Linked DNA regions of Macaca mulatta. The protein of the gene in region 3 interacts with the protein of the main gene of each other region in a pairwise test. Links are inferred from orthologs where the notes say so. Each region holds a gene or a part of one and is shown on either strand. Other genes may lie near its edges. The genes, in order: CCDC33, PSMF1, KHDRBS3, INPP5D, SIAH1 and BAHD1.

The links.
Region 1: the proteins of KHDRBS3 (region 3) and CCDC33 interact in a two-hybrid assay, tested with the Homo sapiens proteins (2 studies listed by BioGRID and IntAct). The link is inferred for Macaca mulatta from reciprocal best matches to the Homo sapiens genes KHDRBS3 and CCDC33.
Region 2: the proteins of KHDRBS3 (region 3) and PSMF1 interact in a two-hybrid assay, tested with the Homo sapiens proteins (2 studies listed by BioGRID and IntAct). The link is inferred for Macaca mulatta from reciprocal best matches to the Homo sapiens genes KHDRBS3 and PSMF1.
Region 4: the proteins of KHDRBS3 (region 3) and INPP5D interact in binary tests that used the Homo sapiens proteins (3 or more experiments, as listed by UniProt). The two-hybrid records come from large-scale screens. The link is inferred for Macaca mulatta from reciprocal best matches to the Homo sapiens genes KHDRBS3 and INPP5D.
Region 5: the proteins of KHDRBS3 (region 3) and SIAH1 interact in a two-hybrid assay, tested with the Homo sapiens proteins (3 studies listed by BioGRID and IntAct). The link is inferred for Macaca mulatta from reciprocal best matches to the Homo sapiens genes KHDRBS3 and SIAH1.
Region 6: the proteins of KHDRBS3 (region 3) and BAHD1 interact in binary tests that used the Homo sapiens proteins (3 or more experiments, as listed by UniProt). The two-hybrid records come from large-scale screens. The link is inferred for Macaca mulatta from reciprocal best matches to the Homo sapiens genes KHDRBS3 and BAHD1.

What each region holds. Positions count from the first base shown.
Region 1 is NC_133412.1:52,149,698-52,153,797, reverse strand, and holds the start of CCDC33 (coiled-coil domain-containing protein 33), read right to left. Parts: upstream 2,801-4,100; 5' UTR 2,416-2,800; coding exon 2,395-2,415; intron 1-2,394.
Region 2 is NC_133415.1:83,016,317-83,020,497, reverse strand, and holds the start of PSMF1 (proteasome inhibitor PI31 subunit), read left to right. Parts: upstream 1-1,381; 5' UTR 1,382-1,528; coding exon 1,529-1,657; intron 1,658-4,181. UniProt on the Homo sapiens protein: Plays an important role in control of proteasome function. Inhibits the hydrolysis of protein and peptide substrates by the 20S proteasome. Also inhibits the activation of the proteasome by the proteasome regulatory proteins PA700 and PA28.
Region 3 is NC_133413.1:145,925,448-145,928,947, forward strand, and holds part of KHDRBS3 (KH domain-containing, RNA-binding, signal transduction-associated protein 3), read left to right. Parts: intron 1-1,258; coding exon 1,259-1,405; intron 1,406-3,500. UniProt on the Homo sapiens protein: RNA-binding protein that plays a role in the regulation of alternative splicing and influences mRNA splice site selection and exon inclusion. Binds preferentially to the 5'-[AU]UAAA-3' motif in vitro.
Region 4 is NC_133417.1:138,473,440-138,476,939, reverse strand, and holds part of INPP5D (phosphatidylinositol 3,4,5-trisphosphate 5-phosphatase 1), read right to left. Parts: intron 3,303-3,500; coding exon 3,206-3,302; intron 601-3,205; coding exon 319-600; intron 1-318. UniProt on the Homo sapiens protein: Phosphatidylinositol (PtdIns) phosphatase that specifically hydrolyzes the 5-phosphate of phosphatidylinositol-3,4,5-trisphosphate (PtdIns(3,4,5)P3) to produce PtdIns(3,4)P2, thereby negatively regulating the PI3K (phosphoinositide 3-kinase) pathways.
Region 5 is NC_133425.1:43,776,374-43,780,399, forward strand, and holds the start of SIAH1 (E3 ubiquitin-protein ligase SIAH1), read right to left. Parts: upstream 2,801-4,026; 5' UTR 2,616-2,800; coding exon 2,525-2,615; intron 1-2,524. UniProt on the Homo sapiens protein: E3 ubiquitin-protein ligase that mediates ubiquitination and subsequent proteasomal degradation of target proteins.
Region 6 is NC_133412.1:17,779,041-17,783,243, forward strand, and holds the start of BAHD1 (bromo adjacent homology domain-containing 1 protein), read left to right. Parts: upstream 1-1,403; 5' UTR 1,404-1,418; coding exon 1,419-2,850; intron 2,851-4,203.

The DNA.
Region 1 (4,100 bases), on a different chromosome or scaffold from region 3:
CAAACTCTTCCACCCACGCCTCCCTTGCCACCCCTCTCCTCCAGCAGTCTGGGAGGCCTGAGGAGCTGAGCCCGGTTCTGCCCTCCAGAAGGACCCTGCATCTGAAAAGTCACACCAGCTGGAGAGGGGCTGGGCTGCGAGGCAGGGTGCCTGACTGCCCGGATCTGTCATTTAGGCGAGTTATTTGACTGCAGTGGGGCTATTTCCCAGCAGTTTCACAAGGACTTTCAGTTAAAAATGGTTCCCCATGTTCCTTCTAGCTTTGGCATCTAAACTTGCCTGGGAGTTACGGTGGTCAGGGGAAAGCTCTTTTTCAGGTGAGGAAGCACACTCAGAGAAAGTAAACCTCTTGCGTGAAAGCACACGGCTTAGCTAGTGGGGCCGGGGCTGGAACTGGAAGCAGGGTCCGTCTGACCCCACGCTCTTGCTGTCTCTGCTGTGCTCTGACCATGCTTCCTTGGATGTGGGTCCCTTCTCTGCTCCACAGTGGATACCCCGTTGAACTCATAACCTGAGTATCCATTGGTGGCAGCAAGAGGAATTGTGTTCTTTGGAGCAGAGAAGCATTCCCAAAGATGACACAAAAGTCAGAAATCATTAAAAAAGGATAGGTTTGATTACATTTAAAAAATCTATACAAACTTCTGTAATGATCCAAAATGCCCTGCAATACAAAGAAAAGGAAAAAAGGAGAAAATGTTTGCTATATATTTAAAAAAGGATTAATATCCGTAGTATACAAAGAGCACTGAAACCTATAAGCATTACCCAATTAAAAAAACATGAACTGGGTATTCACAAAAGAAGAAACACAAATATATATATTATATACATGATGAGCATCCTTTTTTTTTTTTTTTTTTTCTTTTGAGACGGAGTTTCGCTCTTTGTAGAGACAGGGTTTCAACATGTTGGCCAGGCTGGTCTCAAACTCCTGCCTTGGCCTCCCAAAGTGCTGGGATTACAGGAGTGAGACACTGTGCCTGGCCAACATCATTTTTTTTTTTTTTTTGAGACGGAATCTCACTCTGTTGCCTAGGCTGGAGTGCAGTGGAACGATCTCGGCTCACTGCAACCTTCATGTCCCAGGTTCAAACTATTCTCCTGCCTCAGCCTCCTGAGTAACTGGGATTACAGCTGTGTCCCACCAAACCCAGCTAATTTTTGTATTTTTAGTAGAGACGGGGTTTCACCATGTTGACCAGGCTGGTCTTAAACTTGCCTCAGCCTCGCAAAGTGCTGGGATTACAGGCGTGAGCCACCCCCCCGGCCATGATGAGCATCCTTATGGGCGATTCTACCCAGCTATCAAAGTGCTTCTCAAAGCTACCAATCAAAGCAACCTTGGCTCCTTCTCAGGACTCCCACGCACACTCCCTGGATCCCCAATCCCAGCTATGTGGGGCAGGTGGGGACCACCTGGCAGCTTAGGGTGCCAGATCAAACTGGTGCCTGGTCCTGAGTGTGTGGCATTACAGAAAGAGTCTTAATGGGGAGGGTGGAGTCTGCGGAGGTTCAGGGGCAGCTGTGGGCAGAGAACATCAGGAACCAGAGACATCAAAATCAAGGGTAATAAAGTGGAAATCACACTAAGGCCTGAGCACCCCCAGCTATTTGGCTTATTCAAGCTGAGTATAACTACAAAGAGGGTATTCCCCGTTTGCAAGTACCGATGTGCCTTTGGTCTCAGCTCCTTCTGGTATCCCTGTGGGTAACACCATCTAGGGCAGGGGCTCTGCCTTGCTAGTGAGAGGAAGGTAAGGGGTCCCTTGCACTGAACTGTTTATATCTCATTGCAATAAGATTCTAGTCCCTTCCTGGCAGAACCCTGCTGCTAGGCCACAGCTTTTTATTAAGCACCCACTATGTGCCAGGCACTGTTCTGAGTGCTGGGGATACAGAGATGAACAAAACACACAAAAATCCCTTCTCTCCAGAGACCCAAGCATCTGCGTTCCAGGGCAGGGGCCTAGGCCCCAGAAAATCAGGGCCAGGGCTAGGAGAGCATGGGGGCAGTGGGGGCATCAGGGCTGCCAAGGTAGCAGCCTGGGAATATCCTGGGAGATATTGGATGGGGGTAATGAACCATCTCAGTGGGCTCTCAGACTGTGTGACCCCAGCAACAAGAGGGCAGAAACAAGCAGGTAAGGGTGGTCAGCACTGACAACACCCGCAAGTACACTGCATTCCAGTTCCCACGTGGCCCAAGAGTATAGGGCAGCTAACCTGGGAGAGCCACAGAGACCGCCTCACTCCCCATTTCACAGCTGTGAAAACTGAGGCCCAGAGAAGGGAAGCTTTTGTCATGATTAAGGAACAAATGAAACTTTGAAGGAGAGACTTTGAAGGAGGGATGGATTCATGCAGGTGTGTGGCCCATTCCCCTGGCCTTACCTTTTTGTTTTTCAGTCCCATCCTCTTGAGGCCAGGAGTGTCTGGCCTTGTTTAACAATCTTGGGGACGAGTACCTGGTATAAGTGGGTGATCAGGCATCAGTCCTGCCCAGACAGTTGGCCTGGGCGTCTTGGAGTCCTTATGGTTAGTGGACAGTATGGAGGTCAATGTGGTCTCAGGGGTGCCACACACCAGCCCTGGGGTCTGGATGTTGGGGAAGGGGGAGGGTGGCCAGGTGGGGGCAGGTCCTCGATCTCTCAGCAGCAAGATGGTCTATGGGTGGAGGGGCCTAGGGGGTTGCAGGCCATGGCCAGTTGGACAGGGTCAGCAACGAGGCGATTGACTCTTGGCACTCCCAGGACGGTGGAGAGATGGGAGAGCCCTCTCTCTGCCCAGGCCTGGAAAAGCAGTGAGCTTTTCCACCTAGCTGGGTCACCTGGGCAACATTGTGTGATGTCACAGGGCAGGGCCAAAGTCACACAGGCACCTGTCCAGGTGCAGTGAGCTAGAACACGAATCTCTTTTCCCTATTCCTGGAGCTGTGTTCCACCTGCCGCCTGGCACTCAGGCCTCACCCTTCCTGTTCTTGGTGCCTCACATAGTCTCCACCGACCCTGTGGCATGGCCAGCCCCATGCCGCTCACACTGCAGCAAAAGAGGAAGCCAGACACTGCTCTCAAGAGCGTGGCAGCTTGATCGGTAAAACAGCTACTTCTGTTGAAGAATCTACCAGCCATCGTGCCTCTTTGGGTACCTATAGTCTTCCATTTATTTGATAATAATAAACACAAACTTCAAGAGGATGGTTTCTTCTGGGAGGGTGGGTGGGAAGATGGGGGAGAGAAGAGGGTAAGAGCATACATTCTAAACCTTTGGGTTTTTAGATTGGGTGGTCAGTTAATGGGAGTTCATTATATTATTGAAAATAAATTAGAATTAAACAACTAAAGAAAGCCATGATGGGCCAGTGATGGCACTAGAGTATGAACCAAAGATTGTGGTTCAGTTCTGAGTGCTGCAAGAAATTATTACGAAGACAAAGTATGTCTTTTAGTGGAGCATTTGCAGCACACCAGGCAGGGTTCTAAGTGCTTTTGGTGAGGTGAGATGGCAGAATGAGGAGAGGCTAGTCGTTGGCCTGGGGTGGGGAGTTGTTCTATAGAGAGGTGAGGTCTGAACTGGGCTTTGAAGGATCATCAGAAATCCTGGGCTAGAAGAGGAGGGATCTGGGGTGCTGGGTGGTGGTCAGAGGTGTTTGGGAGGCCCCTGTGGCCTGCCTCATTTCTACCTATTTTGGGCCCCATGTTGGAGATTCTTTTAATCTGGCCGAAGAGCAGGACCAGCCTGGCAGCCAGGAGGCAGAAGACTCCTGCTTTGCAGAGGCCTCCCAGCCTCCCTCTCTACCCCCCCTCCAGAAAGAGCAGCAGCGAGGATGTGGTTCTCCCCAGGTTAGAGACAGAAAAACTGAGGCTTTGTCTTTGATTAGAACTGAAAGGACCAGCCAAGACCACCCAGACACTGGTGGGAGATGGAAGTCGGGAACCCCACTCCTAATTTTCTCCCCGTCTAGGCCTGCCAAGAGTGGTACCGCTGGGGCTCTGGGACTGGGGGCCTGACCAGGAATGGCCTGGCTGTGAGCACTGTGCTTTATCTCCCTTGTGGGCCAGCATGTCCCAGCACAGTGTGTATGTGTGGAAAGGTCTCAG
Region 2 (4,181 bases), on a different chromosome or scaffold from region 3:
ACATGCAGGTTCCTGCAGACCACGGGGAGGACTTTACTTTTCCATTGAGCGTGATGGGAACCCTGTGAGATTTTGAGCCGAGGGATGTGATCTGACTTGTTTTCTTTTTTCTTTTTGTTTCTTTTTTGAGACGGAGTATCGCTCTGTTGCCCAGGCTGAAGTGCAATGGTGAGATCTTGGCTCATCGCAACCTGCACCTCCCGGGTTCCATCGATTCTCACGCCTCAGCCTCCTAAGTACCGGGGACTAAAGGCGTGCGCCACCACGCCCAGCTAATTTTTGTATTTTTAGTAGAGACAGGGTTTCACCATGTTGGCCAGGCTGGTCTCAAACTCCTGACCTCAAGTGATCCACCTGCCTCGGCCTCCCAACGTGATGGGATTACAGGCGTGAGCCGCCACACCCGGCGGATCTGACCTGTTTTCTAACAGAATCTCTCTGGTTGCGAAGTGCAGTACAGAGAGAGACAGGAATGGAATGGGGCAGTTCCGAGGCTGATGCCAGGCGTCCAACTGAAAGATGACAGGAGCTTGGACCAGGTTGGTGACTGGGATGGGGAAACTAAATTTATTTGGGTAAAAACAATAAGTGGATTTCATGAAACTTGTTGACGTAATGGGTGGTAAAAATCATAAAGGGGGTAGTCAAACAAATGATTGAAATTTGGTAATGGGTCAGGAGCTTCAGCTCTGCCGGCAGCAGTTGTGTCTTCTTGGAAAAATGGTTTCAACTCTCAGCCGTTTTGTCATCTGCAAAATGGGGATAATAATGGTACATCATAGAGTTGTTGAGAAGGTGATGTAAAGGTTTTAGTACAGGATGTAGCACACAATAAACACTTAATAAATGTTATCTTAGAAGCCAGACTGCTAGGTTCCTGTAACCATCTCAGCCATTCACCGGCTGGCTGTTGTCACCTTGGTCAAATTAGCCCTCTGTGCCTCAGTTTCCTCATCTGTGCAATGAGGCACATTAATCGTTAATATCAACTGCATAGAGTTGGGTTGTGAAGATTAAATAAATGAATACAAGTAAAGCATTCAGAATAATGTGGCCGGTAGTAAGCACTGCGTACGTATTAACGATTATTAAGAATGTATTTTAGCCACATTTCCCAGCCCCTTCCCCGGCCTAGCATAACCCATTTTGTGCATGGGAAGTCTGGCTTTCAGCAAGGTGGCCTCTTGGAGGGCGCTGTGCTTGCGTGAAGCGATCCTGTCGGCCGCGGCGAAGACCCAGGTTCCGGCTTTGAGGGGTCTCGCCCCGCGCGGTCCCTGGCGGAACCTTTTAGTTCTGCGCTCGCGTTGCCAGCCCGGCGCGCCTCACGCAGTTGCGCCCGCTCCTGGGGCTACTTCCGGCGGCCCCGCCCCGCCCCGCCCCCGGGCGTCTCCATCTTGGTCTCAGGTGTAGGCTCTGCCAGAGCTAGCGCAGGAGTGAAGCGGAGTTATAGCTACCTCGGCCGCGGAGCTGGCTCACTGCACTACCCCCTCCCCCTTCTCTCCTCCAGACGCCGAAGTCGCTGGCGCTCATGGCGGGCCTGGAGGTACTGTTCGCATCGGCAGCGCCGGCCATCACCTGCACGCAGGACGCGCTCGTCTGCTTCTTGCATTGGGAAATGGTGACACACGGCTACTACGGCTTGGGTGTCGGTGACCAGGTACGCCACGGAGCCGGCCAGGGTGGAGGAGGGAACTGTCTTCTGTCCAAACTCAGAGGCCCGGAGGCCTGGTCCAGAGCGCCCGATTTCCCCGCCTTTCCCAATGCAGGGCCTGGGGCACATGACAGCGTTGGTAAAACCTGCGGGTCGGAGGTTGCTCACCTGCTCCAACCCAGCCCAGAGTCCCTCACAGCACAGCTGGCACAACATGATTTGTAAACTCAAGGGCAGAAACTCGCTTCAACACAGCCTGGCAGCCTCTCAGGCCAGGACTGTGTGGACCTAGCATTCCATAGAATGGAAAAGAATCCAGACAGGAGTTTAGCTCCCCAGAGCACTCCTCACCCACCTAATCTCCTCTGAATTCCTTCCCACCCAGCCTCGGGGTGAGGGGACTGACTCAGTTCCCCCCTCATACCACACTAGAGCCTCCACCAAACATCTGGATCCAAGCACAGGTACGGGAGTGAGCTTTGACCTACTCAGCCCCAGGCCACGGCCCTTTTTTCACCCCTTAGCATGGGCCCAGAGAGTTCACATGCCTTTCACGCTTTACTGAAGGGCCCAGCGTAGTCCACTCGCTACTGCCATCCCCAACTCAAGCTCTAGGAAACAGTCCCCCCTAGAATCGTATACACATACAGCCTGGATGTGAGAGTCATATGAGATTTTCTCCTCATAGCTGTCCCCATAGGGCCAGCCCCCTCCACTCCCATCCCCAGGCTCCACCTCTTACACCTAGGGACGTTGTTGTCATCCCCACCGAGTTCCAGGACCGCTGGGCCCAACCCACCTCACTAATTCTTTGCTCTAGCATTCTTCTGTCTTTGCTGTCTCTTCCCTGTGACCCTCATCCCCACATCCACATCATCCTAGACATCTGCTTGCTGGGACAACTGGGCCTGCCTCCATGCGTGCCCCTCACTGTCACTGTTCTCTCACTCTCAGAACCAAGACCAGCCATGGGAAACAGATCACCCCATCACCCTTCCTCTCCTTTTTGACTGCTTCAGCCCTCAACTCCTCTAATCATTTTTTTTAGCTTCTCAAATAGAGTCTTAATTCTCCTCTCCTGACACAGCTTTAGGGACCCGTCTTCAAACTTGTTTTGTACATTCTGAGCACTTAGGCAAGTATCCCCTTTCCCCTCCCCCTCACTGCTGTCCCTATTCCTCTCTGTCTCTTAGAACTAAAGACCAAGACCACGATACCCCTCTCACACTTTACCTCCTTCAGCAGGAACCAGAGCCTAAGAACTGTCAGGGATTTCTGGCTCTTCCCCTGCCCGCCCCCGACCTCAGTTATCTCACTGGGACCCCAGGTACACACTCAGGATCCCCATTCCCACCTCCAAACTCACACATACTTCATCTCTCAAATGGGCTCTATGACTGGAGATGAGGATGGAAAAGAACAGCCAGCCTTTCACACACACACACCTGGAAGCAGGAACCATTTCACCTTCCCAAACACATCTGTCCCTGTCCTTTCTCTTTGTGCTGCCCTTCATTCCACATACCTTCCAAATGCCTTTCAGCATTTCAGACCTTAGTACCAGGTAGAGACACATTTCAGTGTCAGGCTCCTGTTTCAGTGCATAGTCCCCCTAACAGAAATCTTGTCTCCCCACTTGTCCTACTCCAGCTTTTTAATCTTGAGCAGCTCTTCACTTGCCCCAGTCATTTTATTTCAGCTTTTCGTAGATTCTTCAAAGAAACTGATATCTGGGATGGTGCAGGGGACAGTGGGGCTGAGAAGAGGAGTAAGATTTGATTTTGACCTGGGAGCTCCTCCATTGGCCCTCAGCTCTCTTGTCCTTCAGATGGAACAGCTGTGCTCTGCACTGTCCCTTCTCATGTACCTCACTCCCCTTACATACCCCTAACTAGCTACTTCTACTCTGCCACACTGTCAGAACCCTGTCCACCTCTGCTCCGGAACTTGTTCTAGAGGGTGTGCCTGATGCCCTTCTCTTCTTGCCATTCCACAAATAAATATCAATCGCTGTGAATCTGCTCCCACCATTCTTACCCTCACTCATCCTGTTGAATCACTTTGACAGTTTGGGAACATCAGTTCACATAAGTCGACACCTTCTTTTAGCTGGCATTATCACCTTTACATACACTCAAGGCTGCAAAATTTTCGGATGAAATGTACAGAAAGAATACAATCTCATTTTAATACTGTTTTTTTCTGTTGTTGTTGTTGTTGTTGTTGTTTTTCCAAAAAAAAGGCCTTGACCAATTCCCCAAGGTCCATCTGATTTTTCTCTGTTCATGGTGCTATTTTTTGAGCTTCTGCAGGCCAGAAAAAGATGCTGGTTTCAGAAATCTTTGGGGAGGCCCAGGACCCTGGGGAATGGGGTTTTTGTAAGGCATTGCCACCTTTCTTCCTGAATCTTGCATGCTCTTGAAGGAATGGGTGTTTGGATTGCAAACTAGAGCGTGGTGTATTTTTGCTTCTCTCTGCCTTTTCTCCTTGATTGCCAGTGGGGCTCAGGTTGCACTTGTCCTCCTGTCAC
Region 3 (3,500 bases):
TAGGACCGGCATAGCTGAGATGAAAGTGTAGCTGAGTAAATCCCATGCTCATCTCCGGCTCTGTCTATTAGTCTTTCTTTTCTTCGTAAGAGTTCAAATAGTCAAGTCACAGAAGTTGAATCCTTCAAGGGTGAAGTCAAGGCTTATGTGCCTCTAGCATTTCATCATTGGCCTCTTGCTTAGTTGTGAAATTAAAAGGTGGTATTGCCAGGAATTCCTGGGGTTCCCTTGGTTATGGGATAGCCTTTTTGAGAGACTAGAAAGATTTCTTATCTTTTGGAAATTAGTCTCAGGTTTCTGTTAATCTTAATCTGTCTGATATTAACATTGGAAACAAAGATTACTGGAAGACCCAGATTCTGAAATGAGGACCTAACATTGAAGGTTAGTTAGGAAAAGGGAGAGGAGCAAAATCAGGAGTTCCTTAACAATCTGTTTTTTCTCCTCCTAGTTTTCCTCCTACATTTCATTATGGAAACAAAGATTAAAAACTTTTGTCATAATTGTGTAAAATAATGTAATAAAGTCTTTCATTTTGTTTTATTCACTGTTTTATTCTCAGAATATAGTGCTTGGTATGTAGAAATGTTTTTTGAATGAATATGTGAACGAGCAAATTGACATAGCAATGAATGAATGTTTAATCATTCATTCAACAAATCTTTGTTGAACATCTGTATACCAAGCACTTTTCTAGACATGGAAAATGCATCACTAAGCAAAGCAGTCACAGTGTCTGCTCCATGGTAATCACTTTTTACTAAGAGAAAATAGACATGTTTTTTAAAATAAGATATTTCAGATAGTGGTAAGTGCCTTGCACCAGCATCACAGACACACACAGCCAGTGTAGAAGTGAGCACGTGAGCTCAGCCAGGTTGAGAAGCACAAAGGAAGCATGGGCAGCTGCTGCTGAGGGCTGAGCCAAGGAGACTGGAGAAGGTGAAGACAGCCTAGCAGTGGAAGTGAGCAGATGATGGAGCTCCTACAAGTCAGCATCTGGAGTGGGATGTTATTCCAGCAGCAGTAGGAAGCCTTTGGAGTGTGTGTAAAAGCCTGGGAATATCAGGATCACATTTGTAGCTTAAACCGTCTTTTCTAGAGTGGTGTCTACTGTTTCGTGAATTTTCTGTGACAACCGCATGCCAAATGGATTGTTTTTATTTTGGGGGATTAGTTTTTATTTACTTATTTTTTTATTTTTTCATTTCTTACAATGACACATTTTTGAATGTGATTTCTTTTTTCTTTTTTCCAGGAAGAAGAGTTGAGGAAAAGTGGAGAAGCAAAGTACTTCCATCTCAATGATGATCTCCATGTTCTCATTGAAGTGTTTGCCCCACCTGCAGAAGCTTATGCCAGGATGGGACATGCTTTGGAAGAAATCAAAAAGTTCCTCATCCCTGTTAGTACAATTTTTCTTGATTGTTAACTTGTACTTTAAAGTCTTTGCTTTAATCCTTGATAATTCTTGTCTGTAACTGTTATTTGCGTAGCTCCTTTTCCGCTGAAAAGCTGTATGGACATCACCTCACGTAGACCTTACAGTGTCCCTGTGAATTACTGGGCATCATTCCTTCTTTATATATGAGGTGTTGGAATTTCAGGAAGATTCAATAATATGGCCAAGGTTACATAGCTAAAAAACTTGCATAGCACAATCCCTAGTTCAGGTTTTGAAACACGTTTCCTACGATTTTATGTGACACTTTGCAAATTTTTTGTTCTCCAACACAAAACCGTTAGTGCCTTCTGCGTGCCATGCACGGTGCTTGGTGTTGGCATGCAGACTTGAATAAAAGCAGTCCCTGCCCTCGTTTAGTATAATATATTATGTAATTTTGAGGAAAAGAGAAACATCAATAGATGATTTCAGTACAACATGATAAATATAGTAACAGACATAACCATAATGAGCACAGAGGGCATGGGCTATTTAGCTAGCTTCTGCCAAGAATTTTGGATGTTTCGTTAAAAATTGACTATCTGTTTTAACCCTTGCAGACACCTTGACATTGCTAAGGATGTGACAATTTAAAGGGAATACATCTCTACCTCTGTTACAAAAATTGATTTAAGTCTTTTGTGTGATTTGTATGCTCTTGATAAAAGGACTTTTTATGTCATTTGCATGCTCTTGGTAAAAAGAATCATAAAGTATTCAACACTTTGGCGCTGCAGACTATTTTAGAGAAACTGACACATCTGTCAAATAGTTCTCTGGATAAGACTGTCTTTGGTTATCCTAGGCTAGTTTGGTGGATTGACTTACATACTACAGCACTTGTACTGTGATTATACTATGTGTGAGGAAAACAATTGTTATATTTATAGGCAAAGGATATTTAAATCACTTTTGCCTTTAAAAAGCCAGGACATGGAATTGCATTAAGTATGTAATAACCTGGGAACTGAAATGGCTAGTATTTTCTTTAGTTCCCATGAGCAAATATGACAATCTATTTCTTCATTTAGTTTAAAAACAAAATTTCTAAGGGCTTCGCTATGTGATAGGCAGATGTGAACTAATAAAATACATGATCTCTCATGGAGTTTCATGGCAAAGTCAGATATGAATCAGTTTTTCATACAAATGACTACGAAACTGAAACCCTGACAAGACCACAGCTAAGGAGAGGTGTATGTTTTGGTGATGATGCAGTGTGGCGCAGGCAGTGCGTCTCTAGCCAGGTGAGACAGATTCTCTTTTCCACAGATGGCTGCAGTAGCACCTTTTATCCCGTGACCCCTACAGTCCTTCCCCGGGGTAGACTCTAATTTCCCTCACACCGAATCTGGGCTGGCCAAAAGAATCTTCGCCTACTGAAGGTCACCAAGATTTTCTGTTTTCTTTAAATGTTTTTCAGTATTCTCTCACTTAAAATCCATTTTGAGTTAATTTGTTTATTTCAGGTCTCTAAATTTATGTTTTTCTGGATGAATATCCAGTTTTCCTAGCACCATATGTTGAAAAGACAATCATTTCCTCATTCAGTACCTTAGTACCATTGTTGAAAATTTACTAAACATAAATGTAAAGGTTTATTTCTGCACTCTCAAATTCTTTTTCATTGATTTGTATGCCTACTCTTAATGCCAGTAGCATGCTCTTAATTACTTTATCTTTAAGTAAATCTGGAAATCTAGGTTGTGTAAATTGTCCAACTTTGTTCTTTTTCAAACATTTTTTTTTACTTTTCTGGCTTCTTAGCATTTTTATATATGTTTTAGGATCAGCTTCTTAATTTCTGTTTAAAAAAAAAAAAGCTGGCTGGGATTTGATACATATTATATTGAATCTATAGATCAGTTTGGGGATAATTTTCATCTTAACAATTTTGAGTTTTCCAATCCAGGAACATGAAATGTTTCTTCACTTTTAAAAAAGATATTACAAAATGTTTCTCAATAGTGTTTTATCGTTTTCAGGGTATCAGCCTTTTCCTTTCCTTTGCAAAATTGATTTGTAAATATTGTATACTTTTTGATACTATTGTGAG
Region 4 (3,500 bases), on a different chromosome or scaffold from region 3:
GGATTATAGGCGTGAGCCACCACATCCGGCCCAAAACCTGTTTTTTGATATGTATATAGTTTTTATAGGAGGTTCCTTTTCTTGGCAATATCTTTACAAATTTTTACCCTTTAAAAAGAAATCGAGTTGCACCAATAGGTTAGGACATGGAAGACTCCACATACATGTCTTAGGAGCCTGCTGTGTTCAGGCCCCAGGCATAAGTCATGAGCCAAGCAGACACAAATTGTGGCCCTTCTGAGGCTTCCATTCTAGGGTGAAAGCCCAGGGCGCTTTCATAAGTAGGGAGGGAGCCGTCTTAATGAAGAGGATACTCACCTTGACTCCTGCGTCCTTGGGGGGAGACCCCGGTTTGCTGTCGAGGGTAAAAACTTCTTGGGTGATATGGGTGGCTGGCAGGGAGGTGTCGTAGGACTTTCTCCCCTGCAGGGCCCCAGCGGGGAGTCCTTGGGTGGCTGGTCATAGCTCCAGGCTGTGGGCTGCTGGTCAGGGGACAAGGTCTGCTTCACGTGCAGGGGCACTGGTGGCCCAAAGGGCCCCACTCCCATGTAGTTGGGGTTGAGGATTTCGGTGATGCTGGAGCCACTGCATGGAGGGGCCCTGCAGGGAAGACATGGAGTCACATCTCAGGGGTCCCTTCCCTTCTCAGGGTCAGCACCAGCCCAAGGAAAGTGTCCTCTGACAACCCTGGGGCTCCCTCGGGCTCTCCTCAACTCCTTCACCTCTTGGGCAGTGATTCATTCATTCATTCATCTATCCACACAACACTGTGGTTACTGAGGGCCTTGAACGCACCCGGCCCCAGGCCAGGAGGAGGGAATATGGCTGTGAGTGAGGCAGCCGTGGTCTCTATTCTTATGGAACTCACTTTTGATGGGAGAGAAAAACAAGCTCAGTGGCACAGAGACACAATATTGATGTAGTGCTGAAGTCTGAGAGTAACAAGGGGAAGAGATGGAGGCTAGTGAAGCATTGGGACCAACTGGGCATTGGGTGGCCCCAGGAGGCCCCATCTGAGGGGTGGTCTTTTAGCTGAGATAAGAAGATAAGCAGACAAGAGAGAAAGAAGGGGAGAGTGTTCTCGGCAGTGGTAAGAGTACTTGCAAAGGCCTCCAGGTGAGAGGGGTTTGGCCTGTTCCTGGACAGTCTGAAGGCTGGTGAGCAGGTGCAGAGGATGGAGTGAGAAGCTGCAAGGCTGGTGGGGCAAAGAGATGGTGGGGGGTGGCCTGGGTGGCAGGAAGGAGGGGATTTTCAGGGCAGACTGTGGCACGGGTTCATCTGGAACACATCAGCCCACACGTTTGTGTGTGCAGCGTCAGCATGGAGGCAGCCACGTGCATATTTAGAAAAATGAGTGTGAGGTCACAGAGATCAAGGCTGGAGCCTGGAATGGGGGGCAATCAGCTTAAAGCTATGGAGGGCATGGCCCAGGCCTGGGTGAGGTGGCCCCAACAGATACATTGCATGCTGTCACTGTGTCAGGCACTCGCCTCCTGAGAACTGAGTTCTGAGTATATAGATTGTCAGGGACACTCCACATCTCCCATGTGCTCCGCCAGCCTGGTTCCGAGTTGTACCTTGCTGCCATCCACCAGTGTCTGCTTCAGAAATAAATGCTTGTTCTCATGCTAGTCAAAATGGAAAAGAATTTGTTTCCCTACACTGATCCTGATTTTGGAACCCAGTAGACACTTCAGAGCCAGGATGCATTTGCTGATGGGATTATCATAGGAGGGAAAGAGGGAAAGGGGATGCTTGTGTGCCCACAGCTGTGAACGTCGGAAGCTGGAAGTGGATCAGGGAATGTGCTAGAGATGAGAATTCCTGTGTTCAACGGGGGTGGCTGGGGTGAGGGCAAGGGTTGGTGGGGACGAGTGTTGTGGGGAAGGGAGGGAGGAGAGGAACAAGCTATGTCTGCTGCTGGCATGGTTCTGCCTCCTCGGCTGGTGAGCTGGCAAAGAGACCAGAACTTGATTCTGGAACTCGAGACCACATCGGTGAGTTAGGGCAGCCCTGCTACCAAGGATGTCTGTATTCTGGTAATACAGACTTTAACATCTGTACTATTCTCAGTTCAGTCTCTGCCGAGAACAACCGGTGTGCATTTTCCCGCAGTGATTTTTCTTGCTAGTGATAGGGTGGGGTTTGGTGGCCACAGATCCCATGATTGCTGGTGTCGTTTGTCCCACAGGAGACACAGCCACCATTTGTAGACTTGGAATCTCTCCATCCTCTCTGCAGTCACTTCTTCATGCACTAGGCCGCAGGTTCCTAAGTCAGGGACTGCACTGAATTTGCCTTGATTTCTCTAGAACTGGACACATCATAGGGACTCCAAAATGTTAGCTGAGTCAAACTGAACTTTCCGTCACGTTAGAGTTTCCCAGGCTTTGTCACAGTCACACCAACCTCCCCAGCAGTCAAACGACACCGAGCAGTCAGGAGAGCACCTCTCCTGGGCTGGAGCTTCTTTCTCCTGTGTCCTGGGTCTCTCTGTGCTTCAGTTCACCTTCTCACAGGCCCTGGGTCTGCAGAGCCATGCTAGTGTTTTGTTTGTTTTGTTTTGAGACAAGGTCTTACTCTGTCGCCTAGGCTGGAGTGCAGTGGCACAATCACAGCTCACTGCAGCCTCAGCCTTTTGGGCTGAAGCAATCCTTCCATCTCAGCCTCCTAAGTAGTTAGGACTACTACACCCAGCTAATTATTATTGTTATTTGAGACAGAGTCTCGCTTTGTCACTGCTGGAGTGCAGTGGCAAAATCTTGGCTCACTGCAATCTCTGCCTCCTGGGTTCAAGCAATTCTTGTGCCTCAGCACCCCCGCCCCCGCCGAGTAGCTGGAATTACAGGCATGTGCCACCATGCCCAGCTAATTTTTGTATTTTTAGTAGAGATGGGTTTTCACCATGTTGGCCAGGCTGGTCTCAAACTCCTGACCTCAAGTGATCCACCCATCTTGGCCTCCCAAAGTACTGGGATTACAGGCATGAACCGCTGCACCTAGCCAAATTTTTTTTTTTAGAGACAGGGTCTCGATATGTTGCCCAGGCTGGTCTCAAAACTCCTGCGCTCAAATGATCCTCCAGCCTTGGCCTCCCAAAGTGCCGGAATTACAGGCATGAACCATCACACCCGGCCAAACCATGCTAATTTGTCATGAGTCCCTGATATCCACCCTCCTCACACCTACCCCACACCCACTTTACCTGCTGGTGGCTTCCCACTGCTTCATGGGGTCATGGCTGGTGAGGCTCTTCAGGGTCTTTGGCCCACTGGACTCATCACGCTCTGTCTTCACAAAGTCTGGAAGGAAAGGGCCGGGAAAGAGCATGTGAGGGCCCAGCTTCCAGAGCTTAGACAAGGGATGGCAAAGGGGTTTCCATTTGCAAGCTAAAGCTGCACAGTGAATAGTGAGTACCTGGGGAGGTGAGTTAAGCAAGATTCTGAGGCCTCATAAGAGTTCAGTGATTGATTAGTTATGCCTGTTGTGGATCCACGGAG
Region 5 (4,026 bases), on a different chromosome or scaffold from region 3:
TATAGGGAGTTACAGGTGAAGTCCTGGATAAAATCGGCACTCTGTATTCACACGGTCTGCATCCAAGGACTTCACCACAGCCATGGATTGAAAATATTCAGAAAAATTTACAAATAATACAAAATTTTTAAAATACAGTCTATAACAACTATTTACGTATTATTTACATTGTATTAAGTAATCCAGAGATAATTTAAATTATACAGGAGAATATGCACATACATATACGACACCATTTTCTATCAGGGACTTGAGCATCCTCAGGTTTTGGTATGGGGAAGGGGGTCCTAGAACTAATCTTCCGAGGATACCGCGGGACAAGTGTAGTTCCAATGCCAAAGAATCAGAGAACCTTCCATTAACTCTTCTTAATGGTAAGCCATTATCTACTCTAGAGGTGTACTTTGGGAATGAGGGGAGGGGTCACAAGGGGAAAGGTCTGCTGCCATCCCATTATCCATCTTTACCTAATTAAGTCTTCCCCCCAAATTATCATCAGCCAGGTATTAATCTTATTTCTTACTGATTAGTGCTCACCTCAAGAGTGAGGGGATGTACTCGCTAGTGAAGGTAGCAAAAATATAAAAATAAACACACAACAAAGGTGAAGGGAGACATAGGAGAAATGGAGGGCCATCTCAAAACTTTTTAGTCTGGTAGAGAAAGTACATCTTTCTGTTCCACTTTCAATCCACAATATGTATCAGACATAATGAACAAAGGAGGAGAGTCAGGAAGAGACAGTGAAAAAGGAAAGAATAAAGATGATAGCACGGCAGAGATAATATACCATACTGGGGGTGGGGGATGAAGTCAACAGGTGAAGAACCCCTTGCAGCCTAGGGTTCTCCAGCGTTGCTGAAACATTCATCAGCAGAGTAATCAACGTTATTTAACAAGTAAATGTCATCTGGAAGAAATAATCGACAATGTAACTAGTCAAGCTGAGTCAAACATAAAACAAGCAACTTTTCCCAGGAAGCTACCTGGGCTGGGATATTGCAGGCCACTATTTGTCTTGGGGGTGGAAAAAAAGATCAGTCGATGTCCTAAGAGTGCACTCCTAGTAACTCTACTAAGCCATATTCTTTTTTTTTTTTTTTTTTTTTTGAGATGGAGTTTTGCTCTTGTTGCCCAGGCCGGAGTACAATGGTGCCTGCTCACTGCAACCTCTGCCTCCCAGGTTCAAGCAATTCTCCTGCCTCAGCCTCAAAAGCAGCTGGGATTACAAGTGCCTACCACCATGCCCGACTAATTTTTGTATTTTTAGTAGAGACGGGGTTTCACCATGGCTGGTCTCAAACTCCTGACCTCGTGATTCCCCGGCCTCGGCGTCCCAAAGTGCTGGGATTACAGGCATTGGCCACTGCGCCCGGCCACTAAGCCATATTACAAAATTAAAGCTTCAAAATTAATGTTTTAATTCAATTATAGTCATTATTCTGTTGCAGGGAACTTTTAAGAAACAATGTTGGTTACCAATGTGACCAAGTAAATGCAACTTGGTTTCTAGATTACCCAAGTGGTTACCAACTGATAGCTTAAATGAGGGCTTAGGGTGAAGGAAAAATAAAGATTAATTCCACATCACTAAAAGGATATTTTAAAGTTCAAGAGGCAACAAAAGTGACAGAATTCCATCATAATGTGTCTCATCATACGGACTCAGAACATGAATCAACTCTCATCTGAAGCCCAGTGTGACCCAGGTGTTCTGTCCCCTGACAAAGGACTATAAAGGAGCTCTCCTGTAATCCAGTTTCCCTCTGAGTAGATTCTTTGTACATATGACATCCATTTTATGTCACTTGTAAAACAGTGGGCTCAGTATTGCCAAAACACCCTGGCTGTATGCTGTATGCCTACTGCATGGTCCAGTTTACTTCAGTAAGCAGCATAACAATTACAAAGTGGTTCCTTGGGCACAAAACAGTCTAGTCAACCAATGCCTTTCAGATTACTAAACCAAACCAAGGAATCACATCCAAGGGCAGTAAACTCAGTTTATATTTAACACAACATAGCTAGAGACCGAGAAAAACACTGTTGTTCACAATTTCTTGACCTAGCAATAGTTATACATTTATCATCAACAGTTCAGGCTCACAATACATCTTTACCATTTTCCAAACACTATAGAAAGCACATTTTAACTCCTATTCAAAGTGTGAAAAAGAACTGAAATGTGAACGGTATTTCTTGTGAATGGAGGTATTACAGGACAGCAACTGCTAAAGCCTCTCAAAGCTCCAAGGGTGGAACCCAGCTCCATCTTGAAACAGAAAAGGAATCCCAACCACACAGCCGCCCTGCAGTAGGAACTAAGGACAGCCCTGCAGAAGTCATGACGTAACCTGAAGTTTGATTTAAACATAAAAAAGCACAGCAACCCAAATGAAACATGACTGAGAACCTCGGAAACGGCTGGATTCTGCTGCAGCCATTCCCTAAGCCAGACAGGTTCCACTGACTAATAGCGTTCAAGCTTCATAGCCTCAGCAACCTATCCTCTTAATGTCAATACCTTTTCTCTTCCTTGTCCTGGCCGCTGGTAAACATGTGAACAAGACTCCCCTCCAGGAGTACAGAGAAGGTGGAGTAGCCTTTCCCGTCATGAGAAGTCAGGCCGCGCATTGCGTTTCCCCCAAGAAGTAAAGGAACAGGCCCCTCCTGGGCACTTTCTGCTCCTAAGCACAGAAGACCCAAATTCGCGTCTGAGGTCAGGATCCAAATATCCATTTACTTCTCAGAAGCACGAGTTACAGAGGTGGAGAAAGGAAGCCTTCCCATCCCCAGGAGGCAACCACACCTCCCTGTGAGCTCAAATTCGGCTGCATCTCCAAAAATGGGAGCCACAGCTGCGCTGTCCTCCAGTGTGCCCTAAGCTTTCGTCTGTCTCCCAAGTTTGTCTTCTCCAGATTCACTCCGTAGGCTACTGCCCAGCTCCCCAGCTCCGGTGGAGGCCGGGGATGCAGGGGGCGACGCGCTCACTGCGAAGGAAGTGCGCTCCCTGAGCCAGCTCAGGGGCTACTGCAGAAGCCTGCCTGCTGGAGAGCCATTTGGAGCCTCGGCCGGGGCTGGGCCTGCGTTGGGAACGCCCACTCCAACCCGGGGCGCCAGGGCCAGCTCAGGGCGCGCAGCGCGCAGGGCGGTGCCCGTCTTGCTCGCGCAGGGGTGGGGCTGTGCCCGCAAGCCCCGCCCCGCAGCCCAGGGCGGGGCCCCGCCACCCCGCTGTTGACCCCATCCCACCCCAGCGACATCGAGCCTTCCTCAGCATTTCCACCAGTTTAAAATTAGGTAGAACCATGCTGTTTTCGGTAGGTCACAACAGTCGAATATCGGCAGTTTCTCACGGTTCGATCTAAGAGCTACAGCGTATCTGGCGTATCTGGGAAATGCGTGCCCACACCGGCGCTACATTCCCGGTTCATCGTGCAAACTTAATTTTTAGAGTGAAAACATTCTCCTTAATTCATTCAACAGCTATTTACCGGGCATCAACTACCATATTTACTCAATTCTAGCTCACTTCATTTCTACTCCTATGGGCACTATATTTTAAACTCTCCTTCCCCGCTGTGAAAAGACTTCGCAGGAAAAGTTGTAAGCACACTTCTGCCACATTAAACTCCTACTTAAACCTCCTAAGAGATTATACTCTTCCCACTCTGGGAAAGCCATCTTAAATGGCCTCATTAAACACAGAGTAGCTTGTTTTGTTTTTAAACAAGCATTACCCTTGCCCCAATAAAGTCCTGGGCCTCAGATTTGCATTGCATCAGCTAGTGCGTGCAGAGGTTTAACCTGTCATTACATCATGCTTAGGGCAGCCTCCAAATGCAGCAAGAGCTGGCAGTGAGGAGTGAACCCAATGCAAGGAACTGCAGATTACCCACTTTCAGCAAGAAATTTTAACTCTACCCACTTCCTCACTCTATTAACAGTGTGTCCAATCACCTCAACCTCATTTTACAATACAGGCTACACAAAACAACATTAGGAAAAGAAATATAATTGAAAATAGAC
Region 6 (4,203 bases), on a different chromosome or scaffold from region 3:
CCCTGAGACTCTTCCCCACCTCCTTGCATCCTGCCCCTGCCTACAAAGAGGGAGAACTGAGCACAACTAGCAAGGCAGCGCGTTTGTCTCCTGTGTTAGTGCTTCTCTTTGATACTTTCTTTTCCCAACTCTTTGTGGCCGGCAGGGGTTTAAAGCGGTTTGGCAGATCTAGTGTGCAGCCCCTGGGTTTTCTCTATCCCCAGGAATATGCTGATCCCGGCCATACTGTTACCCTTGCCCTAGGTACTGGCACCCTTTGGGCTGCTCTTGCCTGGAATTTGAACCGAAGTTCAAATGAAACTTCTCCACCATGGGCCCCTCAAAGCTGAGACCTCTCCACCATGGGCCCCTCAAAGCTGAGACCTCTCCACCATGGGCCCCTCAAAGCTGAGACCTCTCCACCATGGGCCCCTCAAAGCTGAGACCTCTCCACCATGGGCCCCTCAAAGCCAGGCCTTCACCCTTGATAGAGCTTTTCCAGCCAGACCCAGGTTGTGGCGGTCTTGCTTTATGTGCCAGGGGAGGAGTCCTCAGAGACTGACTTTGCCTTCTTCATGGCCCAGCAGGCAGGTTCCCCATCTCAACTCTTCACTATCTGTCTTCTTATCCTCCTGTGGCCAACCTCAGAAGCCCTGTGTTTGGGGAGGGGGTTGTTAATGCCTTGGTTATACTTTTGAAAGAATAGATGAACTCCTGGCCAAGCGCAGCAGCTCACGTCTGTAATCCCAGCACTTTGGGAGGCTGAGGCGGGCATATCACGAGGTCAGGAGATCGAGACCATCCTGACTAATATGGTGAAACCCCCTCTCTACTAAAAATACAAAAAAATATTAGCCAGGCATGGTGGCGGGCGCCTGTAGTTCCAGCTACTTGGGAGGCTGAGGCAGGAGAATGGCATGAACCTGGGAGGCGGAGCTTGCAGTGAGCTGAGATCTCGCCACTGCACTCCAGCGAGACTCCGTCTCTCAAATAATAATAATAAAAATAATAAAGAATAGATGGACTCCTACCACTCAAGCCCCCATCTTGGGAGGCTCTGTCTTCAGAGCCTCCTCCTATCCAGTGATGAGTATCTAGTGAGAGAAGGACGGAAAGAAAACAAAGAGCTTTGCCACCAGCTCCTCCTATCCCCTGTCCCTGGGGTCTGCATTGCTCCCTAGGCTTTTCAGGGGCTTAGTTCAGAGATAACCCTAGGCTAAAAGGAAAGAGGGGGAACCAGTCCTTGCACAGCTGCTGGTAGCCTGATTCCACTGCACCTTCACACTCTGGAAGGGGAGTCCTGGGAAAACCCATACTGGAGGCCAGGGTCACTGCACCTGGGGCTGGGTAGGCTGCAGTGGGAGAGAAAGCAGGCAGGGGCAGGCCAGAGAGGGCTTCTCTCATTGCCCACCTTCTGTCCTGCAGGTTGGAAGTACTCCATGACACACACTCGGAGAAAGTCTCTTCCCATGCTGAGTTCGGGCCCCAGTGGCCGCCGAGAGCCCCTGCAGATGGAAGACAGCAACATGGAGCAGGGGGCTGAGGGTGTGGAGCCAGGCATGCCTGAGAGCCCAGGTCACCTCACAGGGCGCCGCAAGAACTACCCACTTCGTAAGCGCCCATTGGTTCCTGAGAAGCCCAAGGCCTGCAAAGTGCTGCTGACTCGCCTGGAGAATGTGGCCGGTCCCCGGAGTGCAGATGAGGCTGATGAGCTACCGCCTGACCTGCCCAAGCCCCCCAGCCCAGCCCCATCCAGTGAGGACCCTGGCCTTGCCCAGCCCCGCAAGCGGCGCCTGGCCTCCCTCAATGCCGAAGCTCTCAATAACCTGCTGCTGGAGCGAGAGGACACCGGCAGCCTGGCCGGCACCCGCCGCAGCCGAGCGGGGGATCCCCACCGCAGCCGGGACCGGGACCGTGCTACTGGGGGCTGGTCCTCCTCCAAGAAGCGGCCCCGGCTGGGGGACCTTGGAGGAGGAAGTCGGGACCTGTCTCCAGAGCCAGCACCAGATGAAGGTCCCCGCCGAGATGGAGACCCAGCTCCCAAGAGACTGGCTAGCCTGAACGCAGCTGCTTTCCTAAAGCTGAGCCAGGAGCGGGAGCTACCCCTGCGTCTGCCTCGTGCCCATGCAGAAGTAGATGGGCGCTCCACTGAGCCCCCAGCACCCAAGGCCCCGAGGCCAAAGTGGCCCAAGGTCAATGGCAAGAACTATCCCAAGGCTTGGCAGGGGGCCAGCTCTGGGGAGGCTGCAGGCCCACCCGGCTGGCAAGGCTGCCCTGATGAGTCATGGCCATCTACAACTCCTCGCGGACCATCCATCCAGCCATCTCATCAGCCCCTGAGCAAGGCTCTGGAGAGCCCTTTGGGGCTGCGCCCTCACCTACCCCTGCTGATGGGTGGACAGGCGGCTCTGAAGCCAGAGCCTGGGCGCCCAGGCGAGGAGTCACCCGCCCCTAAGCAGGAACTGCATCAGCCCTCGTTCCCCACACCTCAGCTGTCTCCGCTGCCGATGCCTGGCAACCCCGCCGACTATAGTGGCCTATGTGTTGGGCCCGAGCTCACTGCACTAGGCAGCTTCTACCTGTACTGTGGCCAAGAGGGGCTGCAGTGTGGGGGCTACTCGCCCTGCCCCATGCTCCCTGAGGGCAAGCTATCCCCAGTGGCTGCACCTCAAGAAGAGGGGCTCCTCTTAGCCCCGAGCTCAGTGCCCTCAGGCACCCCTTTTCAGCACCCTCCCTGGGGCTCCTCTCGCTACTGCTCTAGTGAGGACACTGGAGTGAATGGCTACAGCATCTGCGGAGTGTTGCCCCTGTCTGTCACCCGCGCTGGCACTACCTGTGGCGGCTGCCCATACAAAATGCCTTTTGCAGCAGGTGAGGCTTCCTGGGTCCGGGATATACTGAGGAGTCTCAGAGACACAGCATCCCAGGAGGTTGGGCTGTTGATCTGAGCAGGGGTCTCCCTTGGGGTCTGGCTGCTAACTGGAAGGTAGGGGCTTTCAGAAGCGAGAACTCCCGTAGTCTGTGCCCCAAGCAGAGGAGCATTCCCAAGAACAGGGCCCCATGTATAGTTGTGGACAGCCTTGCTCTTCCCAGGCTGCCTGTGGAGATTCTTGGCCTGGCAGTTAGGTAGCATTGCAGTGGTACAGGCCACAGGAAGGCCTCTCTTCCCTCCTCATCCTGGGATACTTCTTCTTAGACTCTGAATAGCAGGTTAGTTATTGGAATTAGGACTTTTACCAAACTGTTCTAATGGCCTGGCCCTTCTGCCCTCCTCGAGGAAAGCTAGAATTCCTTACTTTCTAGAAACCAGTACTCTCTGCATGCAGGTGAAGTTCAGTATTCATGGGAAGAGTGGTAGGTACCAGGCTCAGTAGGTGGTACCTACTGCACAGGGCAGCTTTTCCCTGGCTATACAGGCCTTGAAAAAGAAGTGCCCAGACTGAGCATCACTTTGCTGGGTGTGGATAGAGAGGGTACACCGTGAGAACAGACAAACAGAGTTCCCTGACGTGGATGGAACGCAATCAGGGCCCACAGCTTTGGTGTCTGCCTGCCTGACAAGACCCAGACACCTGCCCATGCTCCGGCTGTTGAGACACTCCCAGAATCATTTCTCTTCCCTAAACTGGCAGAGGTATCCTCACCTGCCTCTCCAGGCTCCCTGCCTGCCTCCTGGGTGGAAATGAGACGTCCTGGCCAGCAGGTCTGGCCTGCTGCTGGGGAGGTGAGGGCTGAACCTTCCAGATCTCCCTTCCCCCCACATCCTTCCTTGTAGGGGTCTATAAAACAACTTTATAGACCAGTTGGCCCTGGCCAGACTGGTTATTTCAGGTTGTGGCTTGAGTTAGAGTTCTTGTGACATGAGAACAGGCTGCTGCTGAGGGTTTTCCTTCTTTTTTTGTGCCATTCCCCAAGTCTAGACCCTCATCCTCTCCCCCTAATAATAAGGACACCAGTAAACACCACGTACCAGGCACTGTTCTAAGTGCTTTACATATGGGAGGCTGCTTGCCACGTAATTGAGCACAGACTCTGGAGCCAGACTGCCTGGAGTGGAATGTTCTCCCCCACTTCCCTAGCCATGTGACTATGGGACAAGTCAGTAGCTGCTCTGTGTCTCAGTTTTCTTAACTATAAAATGGGGGTAATGATACCTACCGCGTAGGGGTTTTGTAAGGATGAAATGAGTTAATGTGTTCATTAAAAAACCAGTCAGTTACCAAA